3 linked regions of the Callithrix jacchus genome follow. The protein of the gene in region 2 purifies or fractionates together with the protein of the main gene of each other region. This does not show direct contact. Links are inferred from orthologs where the notes say so. Each region holds a gene or a part of one and is shown on either strand. Other genes may lie near its edges.

Evidence for each region.
Region 1: the proteins of KIF5B (region 2) and KLC3 purify together in Homo sapiens (affinity purification with mass spectrometry; 3 studies listed by BioGRID and IntAct, with this or other methods). This does not show direct contact. The link is inferred for Callithrix jacchus from reciprocal best matches to the Homo sapiens genes KIF5B and KLC3.
Region 3: the proteins of KIF5B (region 2) and KLC4 purify together in Homo sapiens (affinity purification with mass spectrometry; 4 studies listed by BioGRID and IntAct, with this or other methods). This does not show direct contact. The link is inferred for Callithrix jacchus from reciprocal best matches to the Homo sapiens genes KIF5B and KLC4.

Annotation. Positions count from the first base shown.
Region 1 is NC_133523.1:39,524,166-39,529,602, reverse strand, and holds the start of KLC3 (kinesin light chain 3), read right to left. Parts: upstream 3,589-5,437; 5' UTR 3,486-3,588; coding exon 3,344-3,485; intron 2,987-3,343; coding exon 2,721-2,986; intron 1,438-2,720; coding exon 1,207-1,437; intron 651-1,206; coding exon 584-650; intron 214-583; coding exon 1-213. UniProt on the Homo sapiens protein: Kinesin is a microtubule-associated force-producing protein that may play a role in organelle transport. Plays a role during spermiogenesis in the development of the sperm tail midpiece and in the normal function of spermatozoa.
Region 2 is NC_133508.1:31,751,698-31,756,479, reverse strand, and holds part of KIF5B (kinesin-1 heavy chain), read left to right. Parts: intron 1-808; coding exon 809-869; intron 870-970; coding exon 971-1,042; intron 1,043-1,207; coding exon 1,208-1,312; intron 1,313-2,250; coding exon 2,251-2,467; intron 2,468-3,619; coding exon 3,620-3,750; 3' UTR 3,751-3,770; intron 3,771-4,782. UniProt on the Homo sapiens protein: Microtubule-dependent motor required for normal distribution of mitochondria and lysosomes. Can induce formation of neurite-like membrane protrusions in non-neuronal cells in a ZFYVE27-dependent manner.
Region 3 is NC_133505.1:51,537,211-51,542,716, forward strand, and holds the start of KLC4 (kinesin light chain 4), read left to right. Parts: upstream 1-2,055; 5' UTR 2,056-2,108; exon of another isoform or gene 2,109-2,183; 5' UTR 2,184-2,211; coding exon of another isoform or gene 2,212-2,271; 5' UTR 2,272-2,420; coding exon of another isoform or gene 2,421-2,564; 5' UTR 2,565-2,611; exon of another isoform or gene 2,612-3,040; intron 3,041-3,750; 5' UTR 3,751-3,774; coding exon 3,775-4,029; intron 4,030-5,362; coding exon 5,363-5,506. Other genes in the region: MRPL2 (large ribosomal subunit protein uL2m), read right to left, coding at 459-627, 2,421-2,564.

The sequences.
Region 1 (5,437 bases), on a different chromosome or scaffold from region 2:
CCAGCGCCAGGATGTTCAGCATGGTGGCCACGTCAGGGTGGCAGTGGCCGGAGCTGCGCTCCAGGTCCTCCAAGGCCTGGCGGCACAGAGGCACTGCTACCTCATAGCGGCCCTGCCCCGCGTACTGGATCACGAGGTTATGCAGGGTTCGAAGTCGGGCGGGGATCTCGTAGCCGCCCTGCTGAGCCGCTGCTGCTCCTGCAGCCTCAGGACCTAAGTGGGGGATGGGGTGGGCTCTGAGTAACCGCAGCCTCTTGCTCCTCCAGCCTTGCATGAGGGGACACTGCCCAGAACTGCCAGACTGCCCAACTGGTCCCTGAAACTATAGCCCTACCCCCAACACTGACTTCTAAGATTGGGGTCACTAGCATCTAACCAGCTGGAACACAGCAACCCACCTGCCTTGTGGAATGTGAATACAGGGCCTGCCGTGCAGGGGGGCTACCCTGCCCATTGTCACATTCAGGGTCCTCCTGAACCTGCCCTTACCTCCCCCTCCCCTGCTCAGAGACTAGGGTCTGGCAGCTCAGAGCCCCCTCCCCGCCCTTGCCATCCCTCAGGGCATGTACCCCCTGACACCCACCTTTCCTCTCCTCCTCGCTGGGGAACAGGGAGGCCAGGCTGTCTCGGCGAGGCGGGGACTCAGGCTGCTGCAGGGACATGGAAAGTGGGGGGTCAGGAGGTGTGTGGGTTTCAGAGATGGGGCCCTGGATCTCAGGGTTTGAGGGAGGTGGTTATCACGAGTGTGAGGGGCCCCGGGGGACAGGCGAGGTTCTGGGAACTTCGTGGAGCAGCTGGTGGGGGTGTCTACAGGAGTGCTGCTGGGTCTGTCTGGGGGCTCTACGGAGGGTTGGGGGTCTGGGGACTGTGGGACACTAAGGAGGCTCTAGGGGACTGTGGGACTCTAAGGAACTCTAAGGAGGTTCTGGGGGACTGGGGCTCTAAGGAGGGTTGGGGGGACTGTGGGACTCTCCAGAGGGTCAGGGGAACTGTAACGAGGGTCTGGGGGACTGTGGGACTCTACAGAGGGACTCTAAGGAGGGTTGGGGGGCTCTAAGGAGGTTCTGGGGGACTATAGGACTCAAAGCAGGGTCTGGGAAATATAAGGAGAGTCGGGGAACTGTAGGACTCTAAGGAGGGTCTGGGGGGACTGTCGGGCTCTGTGAAGGGTGAAGCCCCCATGCCGCCTTGACCTGCCTGTGGTACCTGGCTTTCTGGAGATGGGTCATACTGTCGCAGTTGCCCCAGGAACTCCAGGTGGTGCTTCTCCTCCTCCAGCTGGGCCACAGCCTCCTCGCTGGCCCGAAGCCGCCGCTGTGTCTCCTCCAGTTCCTCCCGAAGCCACACGTTCTCCTGGGCTAGCCGCCGGGCCTGTGCCCGCAGCCGCTGCTTCTCTGCCTCCAGTGTACCCATGTGTGCTGACAGGGCCAGCAGTACCTGCCCGGGGTGGGGGTCCTAAGTCGATGCTGGTTCCTACCCTTCCAGGCAGCCCACAACCCAGCCCAGGCCTCAAATCAGGCTGCAGCCCCTCACTGCTATGCACAATACCCCAAGTTCTGCAGAGACTCCACCAATGCAGCTCCAGTGTCCTCAGTTTCCCAGGGGCCCCTCTGATTTCACCCCCACACTCACCCCAGGACTCAGTTTGCTGAAGAATGCCATCTGGTTCAGGGGTCCCTGTCACAAGGACCCCATAAAGCTGCCAAGGGACTCGGTCTCTGGCCTGGAGCCTCCCCTTCCCAGGCCTGATTTCCCCAGGCCTCGCCCTGCAGCATTGCGCCTCTCTGGCATTTTTTTTTTTTTTGAGGTGGAGTCTCGCTCTGTCACCCAGGCTGGAGAGCAGTGGCATGATCTTGGCTCACTGCAACCTCCGCCTCCCAGGTTCAATTCTCCTGCCTCAGCTTCCTGAGGAGCTGGGACTACAGGCATGTGCCACCATGCCTAGCTAATTTTTGTATTTTTAGTAGAGACGGGGTTTCACCATGTTGACCAGGCTGGTCTCGATCTCTTGACCTCATGATCCACCCACCTTGGCCTCCCAAAGTGCTGGGATTACAGGTGTGAGTCACCGCACCCGGCTCTGCCATACTTTTTTTTGAGACAGTCTCGCTCTGTCACCCAGGCTGGAGTGCAGTGGCACAATCTCGGCTTACTGCAACCTCCATCTCCCAGATTCAAGTGATCCTCCTGCCTCGGTCTCCTGCGTAGCTAGGACTACAGCCACGTACCACCATGCCCAGCTAATTTTTTTTGTTTTTACTTTGAGATGGAGTTTCACTCTTGCTGCTCAGGCTAGAGTACAATGGCTTAATCTCCGCTCACTGCAACCTCTGCCTCCCAGCTTCAAGCTGTTTTCCTACCTCGGCCTCCTGAGTAGCTGGGACTACAAGCGCCTGCCACAACACTGGGCTGATTTTTGAATATTTAGTAAAGACCGGGTTTCACTAGGTTGGACAGGCTGGTCTCTAACTCCTGACCTCGTGATCTGCCCACCTCAGCCTACCCAAGTGCTGGGATTACAGGCATGTAATCCTTTAGTTTTTGAATTTTTAGTAGAGATGGGTTTTCACTATGATACCAGGCTGGTCTCGAACTCCTGATCTCATGATTAGCCGGCTTCAGGCTCCCAGTGTGCCCCTCTGCAATAGTGAGCTTCATACCTGGCCCTCCCCCACCCTCAGCTGACTGTCCCCCAGCCCCCCACCTAGCCCCCCTCATACCTGGGCCTCGCCCAGCCCCAGCTCGATGGCCTCCAGCGAGTGGCTCACCACCTGCTGCTTTTCCTCCAGCATCTCCCAGCCAGCCACTGGGCCTTGTCCCGCCAGCGCCTGCGCCAGGTGCCCTGCCAGGCCACAGTGCTCTGCCCGCAGCGCCTCCAGACCCTGTACCACTTGACGCGTCTGCCGCACCAGCTCCTCAGGGCTCAGGCGCTCTGGGCCCAGCCCCGCGCTTCCGGGTGCTGCCACCTGCACAGACATTGCTGCTTCTGGAGGGTAACAGTGGGGGGGTCAGGGAATCATTGCCAGGGCCAAGCAAGCTGGCCCCAGCCTCTACTCCCATAATAGCCATCAGGACCCCTAACTTCTCCCCATCCTATCTCTTCCCCACTCCACCCATTCTGGCCAGCCCTCTGCCTCCATACCCTCTGCATCCCAGTTTCCACACACATCCCAGCCCTCAGCTGACTGTCCCCCAGCCCCCCACCTAGCCAGCTCTCATCTAGAACATTCTAACCTACCTTCCTCTGTCCTCCCAACCCAGGGTTCTGCCCAAATCCTATGCATAATTAACCAAGAGAGGGCAAACAGCTGGCCTGGGGGTCCCCCATCTTCCCTCAGCTCACCTGCCCAGCCTTCCCCACCCCAAGGCCCCTGGATCTCTGGGCCCAGAGCTCCAGGTCGGCCGTGTGACCTGGGAGAGGCACCCTCCTCTGCCGGGCAAGTGGGGCGGGACATGTGGAGGCGGCAGCCTCTGCGTGAGCTCATTCTTAGGGTGTTTTTGTTGGGAACCAGTCAGACCACTGGGGGTGGGGTGTGGTGGGAGGAGAAGGCTGAGGGGCTGGGGCCCCTGGAAGCCCAGGAGGCCTCTAGGTTGGGGGGGTAGAGGAGGGGGTCATGTGTCGGCTCCCAGGTAACAGGGGCTCCACCCTCTTCCATCACAGACAGGCTCAGCCAGCCCAGGGCCTGTTGGGACACACATGTGATAGGTGTGGTCCAGGGATGTCACACTGGCCATGGGACAGCTGAGGGTCTGAAGCCCAGCTCACAGTGGGCAGGGCCCCTCCATGGGACTTCATGTGGTTGTATGTGGGTCACAGCTTAGCTGGCGATGCCTCTGGGGTCCTCCTAGACACACACACTCCTCAGAAGCACACCTCACACACCTCACCCTCCCTTCTTAAAGGCACAATGCAACACCCACATTCTCCTCTCTGAAATACAATTTGACACACACACAAATGTCCCCTTCTCTCAAATACAAGACAGGGACCGGCATGGAGGTTCATGCCTGTTATCCCAGCACTTTGGGAAGCTGAGGCAGGCAGATCACTTGAGGCCAGGAATTTGAGACCAGCCTGGCCAACCTGGTGAAACCCCATCTCTACTAAAAATACAAAACAAAATTAGCTGGGTGTGGGGGTGGGCACCTGTTGTCCCAGCTACTCAGGAGGCTGAGGCAGGAGAATCTCTTGAACCTGGGAGGTGGAGGTTGCAGTGAGCCCAGATCGTGCCACTGCAATCCAGCTTGGGTTACAGAATAAGACTCTGTCTCAAAACAAAAAACATGGTATACTCATGTACCCTCCAAAAATAGTTACACACACATACTCCCTCATTAGAAATACAGTGGAGGCCAGGTGTGTGGCTCACACCTGTATTCCCAGCACTCTGGAATTCTGGCTGAGGCAGGAGGACCACTTGAGACCAGGAGTTTGAGACCAGCCTGGGAAACAGCGAGACCCCATCTCTACAAACAAAATCAAAAATTTAGCCAGGTGTGGTTGGTGGCATACCTGGAGGCTGAGGTGGAAGGATCGCTTGAACCCAGGAGGTTGGAGCTGCACCGCTCAGCCTGGGCGACAGCACAAGACCCAGTTTAAAACAGAAAAAAAAAAAAAAATCAACATATACATTCTCCTCTTAAAAATACAACTCTACACACACCTACATTTTCCTTTTAGAAATACAACCTAACAACACACTCAGGCACACACACATATACTGTTCCTTCAAAAACAATCTGTACACACTTCCCTTTTAGAAATTCCACCCAACTCACAGGTATATTTTCAGAAATAAAAGCCAAGGCTGGGCATGGTGGCTCACGCCTGTAATCCCAGCACTGGGAGGCTGAGGCGGGTGAATCCCCTGAGGTCAGGCGTTTGCGACCAGCCTGGCCAACATGGTGAAACCCCCTCTCTACTAAAAATACAAAAATTAAGCTCAATGTGGTGGTGGGTGCCTGTAATATCAGCTACTTGGGAGGCTGAGGCAGGAGAATCACTTGAACCTGGGAGGCCGAGGTTGCAGTGAGCCGAGAGGGTGCCACTGCACTCCAGCCTGATGACAGAGTGAGATGCCTTCTCAAAAAAAAAAAAAAAAAAGAAAAGAAAAAGATGCTAGTCTAAGCAGAGGAAAACTCACGCAGAAACTAACTGTCTCTCCCACTCGTGAAATCACTCACTCAGACCATCTCCGTGCACCTGACCCTGACACTGTCTCCCAAACTCACACAGCCCCATAAAGTGCCTCACACACCTCTAGATTCACATACTCCCAGGATCATTTTGGAGCCCCCGCCAGCTTCCCCACCTCCTCCTCCTCCCCCTCCAGGCCTGGCCAGCAGGGACTCCCACACCTACACACTGTGTACTGCGATTCAGTTCCGCTGTCAGAACAGAAAGCTGTGGATGTGCGCGGAGGGATGCCACGTTCAC
Region 2 (4,782 bases):
CAAGTAGAAAATTCATGATTATAATTTTTCACATACCTTGAGTTTGTGAGATAATTTGCAAATGAACTGCTATTAGGATAGTTAGAACATCAGGACAAGTTCATAGTGGATTTTATAAAGATTCTGCTAACTTGCAGCTGTAATTGTGTTTAGAATAATTTTAATGTAAAATATTTTAGTCTTTGATAGTTTATAATCTCTGTAATTAGTTAATCGTCACTTTGGATAAATAAGAGTATAATAATATGGCATATTTGAAAATACAAATTAGAACCATTCCTTATTCTTCGAATTCGGCCACATTTTATTTCATCTCTTTTGTTGGTGTATATGGAATTTATAACAATAAACTGTTGTTTTAGAAGGCATAGGAAATTTCTTCAAAATGGCCAGGTGCAGTGGCTCACACCCATAATAGCACTTTGGTAGGCCAAGGCAGGAGAATCACTTGAGCCTAGAGTTTGAGAATCAGCCTAGGCAGCATAGGGAGACCCCGTCTCTACAAAAAACTCTTTAGACAGGCCTGGTTGTACATGCCTGTAGTCCCAGCTACTTGGGAAACTGAAGCAGGGAGGATCATTTGAGCCTAGGTGGTCAAAGGCTGCAGTGAGCAGTGTTCAGGACAGAAACGCTGTTTCAAAAAAAAAAATTGAAATACAACATGGATAAATTGTTTAAAGCAAGCATCTTGTATTTATTTAAATTTAATAATTGATCCTTTCAGATACAAAATATTCAACTCTCATGCAAAGTACAACTAGAATTTTATGGAATAAAATTTGAAAATTTATGTTTGTTCTTCTGTTAGGATTATACAAGATAGACGAGAACAAGCAAAACAAGACTTGAAGGGTTTGGAAGAGACAGTGGTAAGAAAAGGACTGGGGAATATTTTGTGGGGTTTTTTCTACCATGATTATTCTGAATTTAAAGTCTGAACTCCAAAAATATTGCTGTTTCTTAATCCAAGGCAAAAGAACTTCAGACTTTACATAACCTGCGCAAGCTCTTTGTTCAGGACCTGGCTACCAGAGTTAAAAAGGTAATATAACTATGCCGAGGTGGGTGTTTGTGTAATGGTGCTTACTTCTAGGTAATTCTTTTATTCAAAGTGAAATAACTTTATAGTTATGTCAGTTTTTGTACAATTAAGCTTAGATTTTTTTTATTTTTTTATTTTTTCGTAATACTTACCTTCTTTTCTCAGAGTGCTGAGATTGATTCTGATGACACTGGAGGCAGCGCTGCTCAGAAGCAAAAAATCTCCTTTCTTGAAAATAATCTTGAACAGCTCACTAAAGTGCACAAACAGGTACTAAAGAGTTTATTTTCTGGTAGCTGAAAGGGTAGTAACAAATCAAAAATTGATTATTGGCAAGTATTTCAGTCTTTCAGAATTTCTATACTCTGAGCCATTTTATCAGAAATTATGTAAAGAAACCACAAGTAACTTTTAGAGGAGTTAATTTTAACAACCTTATTATCAAAAGAGATAGTGAAAATATGTATTCTTATTTTCTCTTTAGGATTTTAAGACTGCATTTTCATAATTTATTGTAATTTTGAAATCTCTACTACATAGACTTTGCAGTTAAAATACAGTCTTCTGGGGAGAGTGGTCTTTTTATACCTAATACACCACCCAGTGTGTCAAATATAATGAAGGAGTTTGTCATGTTTTTAAAAAGTAATGCTTACTTTGGAGGTTTTTTTGGTTCTTTGCTTATTTTTTGTTGGGACTTGATAAATGATTTAAGTTACTAATTTCAAAAAGTTTCTCTACACTTAATTGTTGTGTATCTTTGTTACTGTAAACCTGATGTTTGCACCAGAGTATGGTTAAAGATATTTTAGCTTTTCTTGTCTTCAGCACTTATTAAGGGTCTTGCTAAGTTTATGTTTCTTATGTGCTTAATATATCTAAAGAGATTTTCATTTCAGCAGATTACTTGTCTTACTGAAGAAACATAGCACTGTCTTGTAATTTATTGTCTTTGCCTAGTAGAGGGAAATAACAGTCCCCCCCCTCAAAAAAAATTAGAGGAAATTATACCTTTGTGAATAAATAGATGTGTATATGATATGTACAGATGGATGTATTCTCTGCATGTTTCTGCCTAAATTAGATAAATGGGAAACAACATAAGATGCAGTTTTACTTCTTTTCTAAAGAGCAATTATGAAATACTTGTACTTTTAAAAATCATTTTGTTAAATCTAGAATCCTTGTTTTCTTTGTGAACCCCTTAGTTGGTACGTGATAATGCAGATCTCCGCTGCGAACTTCCTAAGTTGGAAAAGCGACTTCGAGCTACAGCTGAAAGAGTGAAAGCTTTGGAATCAGCGTTGAAAGAAGCCAAAGAAAATGCATCTCGTGATCGCAAACGCTATCAGCAAGAAGTAGATCGCATAAAGGAAGCAGTCAGGTCAAAGAATATGGCCAGAAGAGGGCATTCTGCACAGATTGGTTAGTAGAACACATTAAAACCTTTAAACCTTGCTCAGTTTGAATGCTTTTAGTTGAAAACATAATCTGAATTTTATAACGTGTTTTCATGGTGCATCTGTCTTTATTTTCTAACTTAGCAAAGAGTGGCACATGGTGGGAAAGAGGAATAACCACATTAGCAGGACATGAAGATAAATGAGAACTAGAGAAGCAAGCAAGAATTGTCATGGAATGGAGAAACTATATAGAGCAATATTACTAAAGCCAAGAGAATTGCAAGAAAAGCCATCAGCAATGATTTCATGTTTAAGAATGATCATTGGTGGCTGGGCACAATGGCTCACGCCTGTAATCCCAGCACCTTGGGAGGCCGAGGTGGTTGGATCACCTGAGGTCAGGAGTTTGAGACCAACCTGACTAACATGGTGAAACCGCCTCTCTACTAAATACAGAAAATTAGCTGGGCATGGTGGTTAACAGCTGTAATCCCAGCTACTTGGGAGGCCGGGGCAGGAAAATCCTTTGAAGCTGGGAGGTGGAGGTTGCAGTGAGTCAAGATTGCGCCATTGCACTCCAGCCTGGGTGACAAGAGAGAGACTCCATCTCAAATAATAATAATAACCATCATTGGTGCAGGAAGTTTTTTGTTTTTTATTTGTTTCTGTATATTTATTTAAATGACACAGGGTCTTACACTGTCACCTGTGCTGGACTGCAGTGGTACAATTATGGCTCTCTGCAGCCCTAACCTCCCAGGCCCATGCAATCCTCCCACCTCAGCCTCCCAAGTAGCCAGGACTACCTACAGGAGCATACCACCACATCTGGCTGATTTTTGTATTTTCTGTAGAGACTGGGTCTTGCCTTACTGCTCTCTTTGGTCTTGAAATCCTGGACTCAAGTGATCCACCCACCTCAGCCTCTTGAAGTGCCGGCATTACACAGGCCTGAGCCACTGCACCTGGCCAGGAAGAAGATTTTTAAAGGCTAAGAATTGTACAGGTCCTAGAAAAAAGAATGGAACAGAAAAGAAAAAGTGATAGAGAAACAAAAAGGCAAAGAAAAACTAATCATTTGGAAATTTGTCGAGAATAAGAGAAGATACCTTAATAGTCATTGCTGTCACATCTTAAGCTTTATTCTAAAGCCAGTCTTTATTTTTCATATTAGCTAAACCTATTCGTCCCGGGCAACATCCAGCAGCTTCTCCAACTCATCCAAGTGCAATTCGTGGAGGAGGTGCGTTTGTTCAGAACAGCCAGCCAGTGGCAGTTCGAGGTGGAGGAGGCAAACAAGTGTAAACATTTATACATACCCACAGGTTTGTAATTTATACCTGGCTTTTCATAGCTATATATGGAAAATTGGTTGTTAAATGGTTTTGGGGGTTTTAAAAATTCTCATATTAGTGCTATAATTTTTTTAAACTTAAGCAATTATAAAAGTTATTTAGCTTGATCTTTTTTTATAGTTTAGATCATACTGTATTCAAATTTGTGATCTTAATTGTTTTGAAATCTAGCATTGGACCATTTGTAATAAATAGCTCTTAATGTTCTGTCTAATGGATGTACCATGGTTTATAAACATCCCTTTTTGCTAGATATGTAATTATATTAATTTGTTCCATAATTGAAATTTACAGAAACCACAATTTTTATGTACGAAATATGAAACATCGTTTTTTTTTTTGAGATGGAGTGTCACTCTTGTCACCCAGCCTGGAGTGCAATGGCGTGAGATCGGCTCACTGCAACCTCCGCCTCCTGGGTTCAAGCAATTCTCCTGCCTCAGTCTCCTGAGTAGCTGGGATTACAGGTGCCCATCACCACACCCGGCTAGATTTTTGTATTTTTAGTAGAGACGGGGTTTTACCATGTTGGCCAGGCTGGTGTCAAGCACCTGACTTCATGTGATCTGCCCGCTCAGCCTCCCAAAGTGCTGGGATTACAGGCATGAGCCATTGGGCCTGGTCTAAAACATCTTTTTGTACTCCCTAACCTGTTAGAGATTATTTCCAGAAGCTTCCCAGAAATGGAATTACAAGGAAATGTGAACATTTTTAAGGCTCTTTGTTCATATTTACACATTGGTTTCTAGAAAGACGGCACTGAATTGCATATGAGCCCAGGTTACTAACAGATTTCTGAGCTTTATTAATTTATAATTATGTACTGCATAAAACAATCACTAATTAGAAAAAATCCAGAGATACTACTATATATATATTTCTTTCTAGAGCTTTCTGTACCAGCTTTTAAATTTAAAAGTTTAAACTGTTGATAACTCTACATATTCTGCTACATATGCTGCTTTGTAGCCTGCTTTTTAAA
Region 3 (5,506 bases), on a different chromosome or scaffold from region 2:
TGGGATTACAGGTGTGACCCACTGCACCCAGCCAATTTTTATATTTTTAGTAGAGATGGAGTTTCGCCATGTTGTCCAGCCTGGTCTTAAACTTGTGACCTCAGGTGATCTGCCCGCTTCGGCCTCCCAAAGTGCTGGGATTATAGGCATGAGTCACCTTACCTGGCCTGTTATAAATTTTTGAAGGGTGTGAAGGAAAATGTCATGGTACTTCCTGTGTATGGCCCATTTTTTTCTCAATTACCCAAATTGTCTTTAGAAGCACAGACCAGTTTTATTTATTGCTTTGCATTCTAGTTTCTGGTTCCTGTGCACATACTACATGCAAAAGGAGCCAAATAAGTGATTTTTAATTACGTTCCTCAGCCTTACAAAGTTCAAGTGTTTCAATATACAGGTCTAGGGTCTTAACATGTTTTTCCCTTTGACTGCTTAAATCCCCTTGTCCTTGTTCCCACCTGTGTGGTCTCGGCCCCCAGACTTCCTCATCTTCACTGGTGTAATGGTGTACTTGGTACGACTCTTCCAGGACACAAAGTTGGCATTAAGGGCCGCAGAAGTAAGGACTGGGCAGCAGGGGAGCAACATCAAGACAGAGGGCTGTTGGAGGAGGGCACTGTCCATCATCTGGGGATAAAAAGACATCTTTCATTTGAAAACTAGTTGAAGGCAAAGCATCAGAGAACCAAGGCAGAGTACACAGATCAATTTTAGCTTGTAGCCCACTTCCTCCAGGATGTGTCCCAAACCAGCCATCCAAAAACTTCACCCATCACAGCTCGCACAGCAATGTTTTCCTCTTGGTCATCTCCTTCCAAATTTGGCTCACAATTCTCTATCTCCAGGAATCTGTTCTTCTCTAAACAATCCCGTTCGTCAGAGCTCGTAACATCCACACATCCATGTACCACCATCAGTGCCAATTCCTTTTGCCCTCTGCATTATGTTTCTGGGACTCTTTCACATATGAAGTGGGGGTGGGTGAGAATCATTTCACTTTTGTTCCTTGCTGTATTCCCAGTATTTCAGAGTGTGTTGGTTTGGATTTGAATTTTAAATATACATCTGCCAAACTCTACCATAATCAGCCTGAGAGCTCCAGAGGAGCAAGACTTACAACTTATCTTTTGCGTGACTCACCAGTCACCTACCAGGACCTCAAGATATCTTCCCCCTAAGACCACTGTTCTTGGTATCTTGCTCTGCATTCCCTAACCTCAGCAGTAACTAATCCTTGCAGGTATCATATCATAATGGTTAAGAGCACAGGTTCTGAAAGCCAGACAGCTTAATTCTGATAGTTGATGTGTGACCCTGGACTCCTTATCAATTTTCTCATCTATAAAATGGGAATAATAACTGCCTTATAGAGGTTTGAAAGGAGCTCATTTATTTGAAACGTCTATTACCTATACCTTGCTTATCATAAGCACTCGGTAAATGTTAATTACTGAAACCTCTGCAACCGGTGATCTCCAAAGCACTTTCACCTTAAGTATCTCGTCTGAAGAATTTCGCCCTATAAGACAGCAACATTTGTAGAGGAGAAAGATGAGGCTGAGAGTGTGCCTTATCCAAGGTCACGGACCTGCGCGACTCCTGACCAGCCTGGCACCCTGCGTCTCGCATCCGCGCAAACCCCATCTCCGGCAGCCCGAATGGAACCAGCCTTCTTCCCGGTTAAGGTGGATTACCTGGGCGGCGGGGAACAGACTTGGGACAGGGGCGGCGACGGTCGGGGGTGCCAGGCTCAGAGAGCGCAGAGCGCGGGTCAGTGCCCACAGGGCCATCGGGTTAGCTAGGGCTCAGCAAGACACCCTTACTTTCAGCGAAGCTGCTCGGCGCTCCTAGATGAGGTTAACTGTCAGGCGCCGTCGCTCCGCAATAACGTAAAAGGAGGCGGGCAGAAAACTGGAGCCCAAGCTGGATACCCACCTCCTTTCTAGCTGAACGCGATAACAGCCAATCCGCGGGCAGCTCTAATGTCGCGTGACTAGGAAACGGGTCCCGCCCCTTAGACCCGTCAAAACAATTGCCTCGAGCGGCAGCCATCATGGATTTAAAGGGGCAGTACCGGCAAGAGCGGCAGACAGACCGGTAGATTGCAGGTGAGTCTTTGAGTCTTCAGTACCTCTGGGGCTGAAGGTTAAGATTTCTGCCATCTTTTATTCTCGCACTTCCAGAAAGATGAACAAACCCCCTTCAACCAACCTTACAAAACTCCGGACTCAAAAACTCCGCCCTTCGCGATTCTTCCCCGCCCCTCGGCATCCAGACAGACAGACAGACGGCCTGCCCCGCCCCCTGCGCCACCAGCTGACTCAGTGACCTCGGGGTCGTTAGGCCTCCTGGTCCTCGCTGGAGCCGCGGACCTCAGTCATCCATCCACACCTCCCCCCTCCTGCCCCCGCCCATCTCACTCTCCCAACACTGCGCCCCAGGGCAGGTCGGCAGCCCGAGGCATTCCTCTTCTGCGTTCCCAAGTCCGGGAGACCCACTCTTGCGCCGCGGTTCACTGCGACCCCGCAGCCGCTAAGCAGACGTCCCATTCTTCCCTGCATCATCGGGCATTAGGGAGGCAGCCTACGGTGATTCCTCTCAGAGCCTGTTTGTAGGTGACCGTGACAGAGACAAAGCCATGGAAGTGGCTGGGTTTGGAGTGACCAGGTGTTCCTCCCTCCCTTTTCCCAAGACACGCCTCTTGCTGTAGGTCTCTGATTAAGTCTCTTTCACTCTCTTCGTGGGAGACTGTAGCTCCTCAGGCCTGCGGTTACGGAGGCTGGCATGGGGAAGGAGAAGGGAATTGGGTGTCTTTGAAGACCTGTAGGTAGAAGGAGGGAGAGAGGAAGGGAGGGTGTTTGTCCTGGGTGGGGCTCTGTGCCGGGTCCTCTGGGTAGCTGTGAAGTGGTGAGAGAAGGGGTGGGAACGCTGGACTTCTGGACTTTGGGCAGGGCAGATCCTTCTGAGTCTGACTGCTGAACAGAGTTTCTTCCGGGCTCCGGCCTGAGTCCCACAGCCAGGGGTTCTGGTCTGTACACAGGTAAGAAGACTTCAAAGATTAGAAACAAGACCCTTCCGAGGAAGTGGGAACACAGCCTGAGTTCTGGGGGGTGGGAAGTATGGGTTGAAGGTTAGTGGGAAAAGATGCAGGGCTGACCAGGTTTGGAGATGCTGGACTTAGTTCTGCAGGTGATGCAGCCTGAAGGCCTTGAGTTTTCTGGGACTCTCTAATGTGGATCCTGCAAGGAAGGCTCCTGTTTTCTTCTTTTCACTTTCTTCACTGATTTAACTTTGCAGAGATTCCTTCCCTTTTTTCTAAACTCCTGCATTGTTTTCTGCATATCTCCCACTTCAACCCTGTTTCCTTTGCAGCTCTCCCGAAGTCCCTCTGTGATCCCCTGGGTGCTGTCTCTCATCCCCTGATTCCTTTTCCTAACCCAGGCTCTCTCTCTAACTGCTTTTCTGTTGTCTTCCTAAGTCCTAAATCCTTCTGCTAGTTCTAAGCACCTTTGTTCCTGTTACAGCCTTCCTTTGTTTAAGTCAGTTCATCTCCCTCGCTCTTTGCCCACAACCTTAGCTTTGAGTTAGTGATCTAGGCTCCCTGCCTGCTGGTCACTCTCTCTCTCCAACTAAGCCACAGGGTCACTCTTACTTTTGTCCCTTTACTTGGATTCTCACCACCTTCTAAGAAAGTTGCTCAGCTTCTCTATCTCATCTTTACTTCAGCTGAACTCTGTTGTTTCTTCCTAGACCAGGCAAGGATCCCTGGCCAGGATGTCAGGCCTGGTGTTGGGGCAGCGAGATGAGCCTATGGGGCACCGGCTCAGCCAAGAGGAGATCCTGGGCAGCACACGGCTGGTGAGCCAAGGGCTAGAGGCCCTACACAGTGAACACCAGGCTGTGCTGCAAAGCCTGTCCCAGACCATTGAGTGTCTGCAGGGAGACCATGAGGAAGGGCTGGTGCATGAGAAAGCCCGGCAGCTTCGCCGTTCTATGGAAAACATTGAGCTCGGGCTGAGTGAGGCCCAGGTGAGAGGGCAAGGGTGGCCCCCAAGTGGTTCGGGGTAGATGGAGGAACAGTTATCTGATTGGAGGTTTGGGGTTGCTTGGGATCACCTCGCCCTAGATGTTTGCATTCATTCATTAAATATGTATTGAGTCCCTACTGTGTGCCAGACTGCTTTTGGGTACTGAAGAGATACATCATTCAACAAAACTGTAAAAAATCTTTGCCATCTTGGAGCTTACCTTCTGGCTGGGGAAGACAAACAGTACATAAATACATTTGGTATGCCAGAGTGGTAATTGCTAAGGATAAAAGGACAAAAATGAAGCAGGGAAGGAAACTAGGGACTATAGAGACAGGGTATAATTTTAGATAGGGTGGTCAAAAAAGGGCTTACTGAAAAGGTGACATTTTGACAAAGATTTGAAGGGAATGAGTCATGGCATAAACAGGGGAAGGGTGTCCTAAGCAGAGAGAGCAGCAAGTACAGAGGCCCTGAACAGAAGTCTGCCTGGTCAGGTCAGTGAATAGCAAGGGGCCAGTATGCCTGCAGTAGAGTGAATGCAGAGAAGCAAAGTAGAAAATTAAGTCTGAGGGGTAATAGGGTTGGAGAGGAGGGAGATAGATCATGTGGAACTTGTAGGCCATCCTGAGGACTTTGATTTTACTTTTTTTTTGAAATGGAGTCTCCCACTGTTGCCCAGGCTGGAGCGGCGTGATCTTAGCTCACTGCAACCTCTGCCTGCCGAGTTCAAGCAGTTATCCTGCTGGGTTCAAGTGATTCTCCTGCTCCAGCTTCCCGAGTAGACTGGGACTATAAGCATGCACCATCAGACCCGGCTAATTTTTTGTATTTTTACAAATACAAAGATGCAGGGGTTTCACCACGTTGGCCAGGCTGGTCTTGAACTCCTGACCTCATGATCCGCCTGCCTCTGCCTCCCAAAGTGTTGGGATTACAGGTGTGAGCTACTGCACCCAGCCCTGATTTAACTTTGAGTGAGATGGAAATTATTGGAATGTTTTCAGAAGAGGAGTGATGTGGTCTAACTCGGCATCATCTGGCTGCTGAGTTACGAATAGACAACGGGGGAACAAGGGCAGAAACCAGGAGGCTAGTGAGGAAGCTACTCTATTTCGGGTGGGAATTGATAGTGGCTTGGCCTAGGGTAACGGCAGTGGAGGTGGTGGGAAATTGGATTCAGGGTATGTATTGAAGGTAGAGACATTGCTACATGCCTACCTTCTGGCTCCTCTGTGCCCCTGCCAGTCTTGCCACCTGCAGTAGGCTCCCCTTCCACCTGTACCTGAATACTCCCACCCAGAATCTGGAACTCAGGGTATGTGTCCATCTAGGTGATGCTGGCTCTAGCTAGCCATCTGACCACAGTGGAGTCGGAGAAACAGAAGCTGCGGGCTCAGGTGCGGCGGCTGTGCCAGGAGAACCAGTGGCTGCGGGATGAGCTGGCTGGCACCCAGCAGCGGCTACAGCGCAGTGAA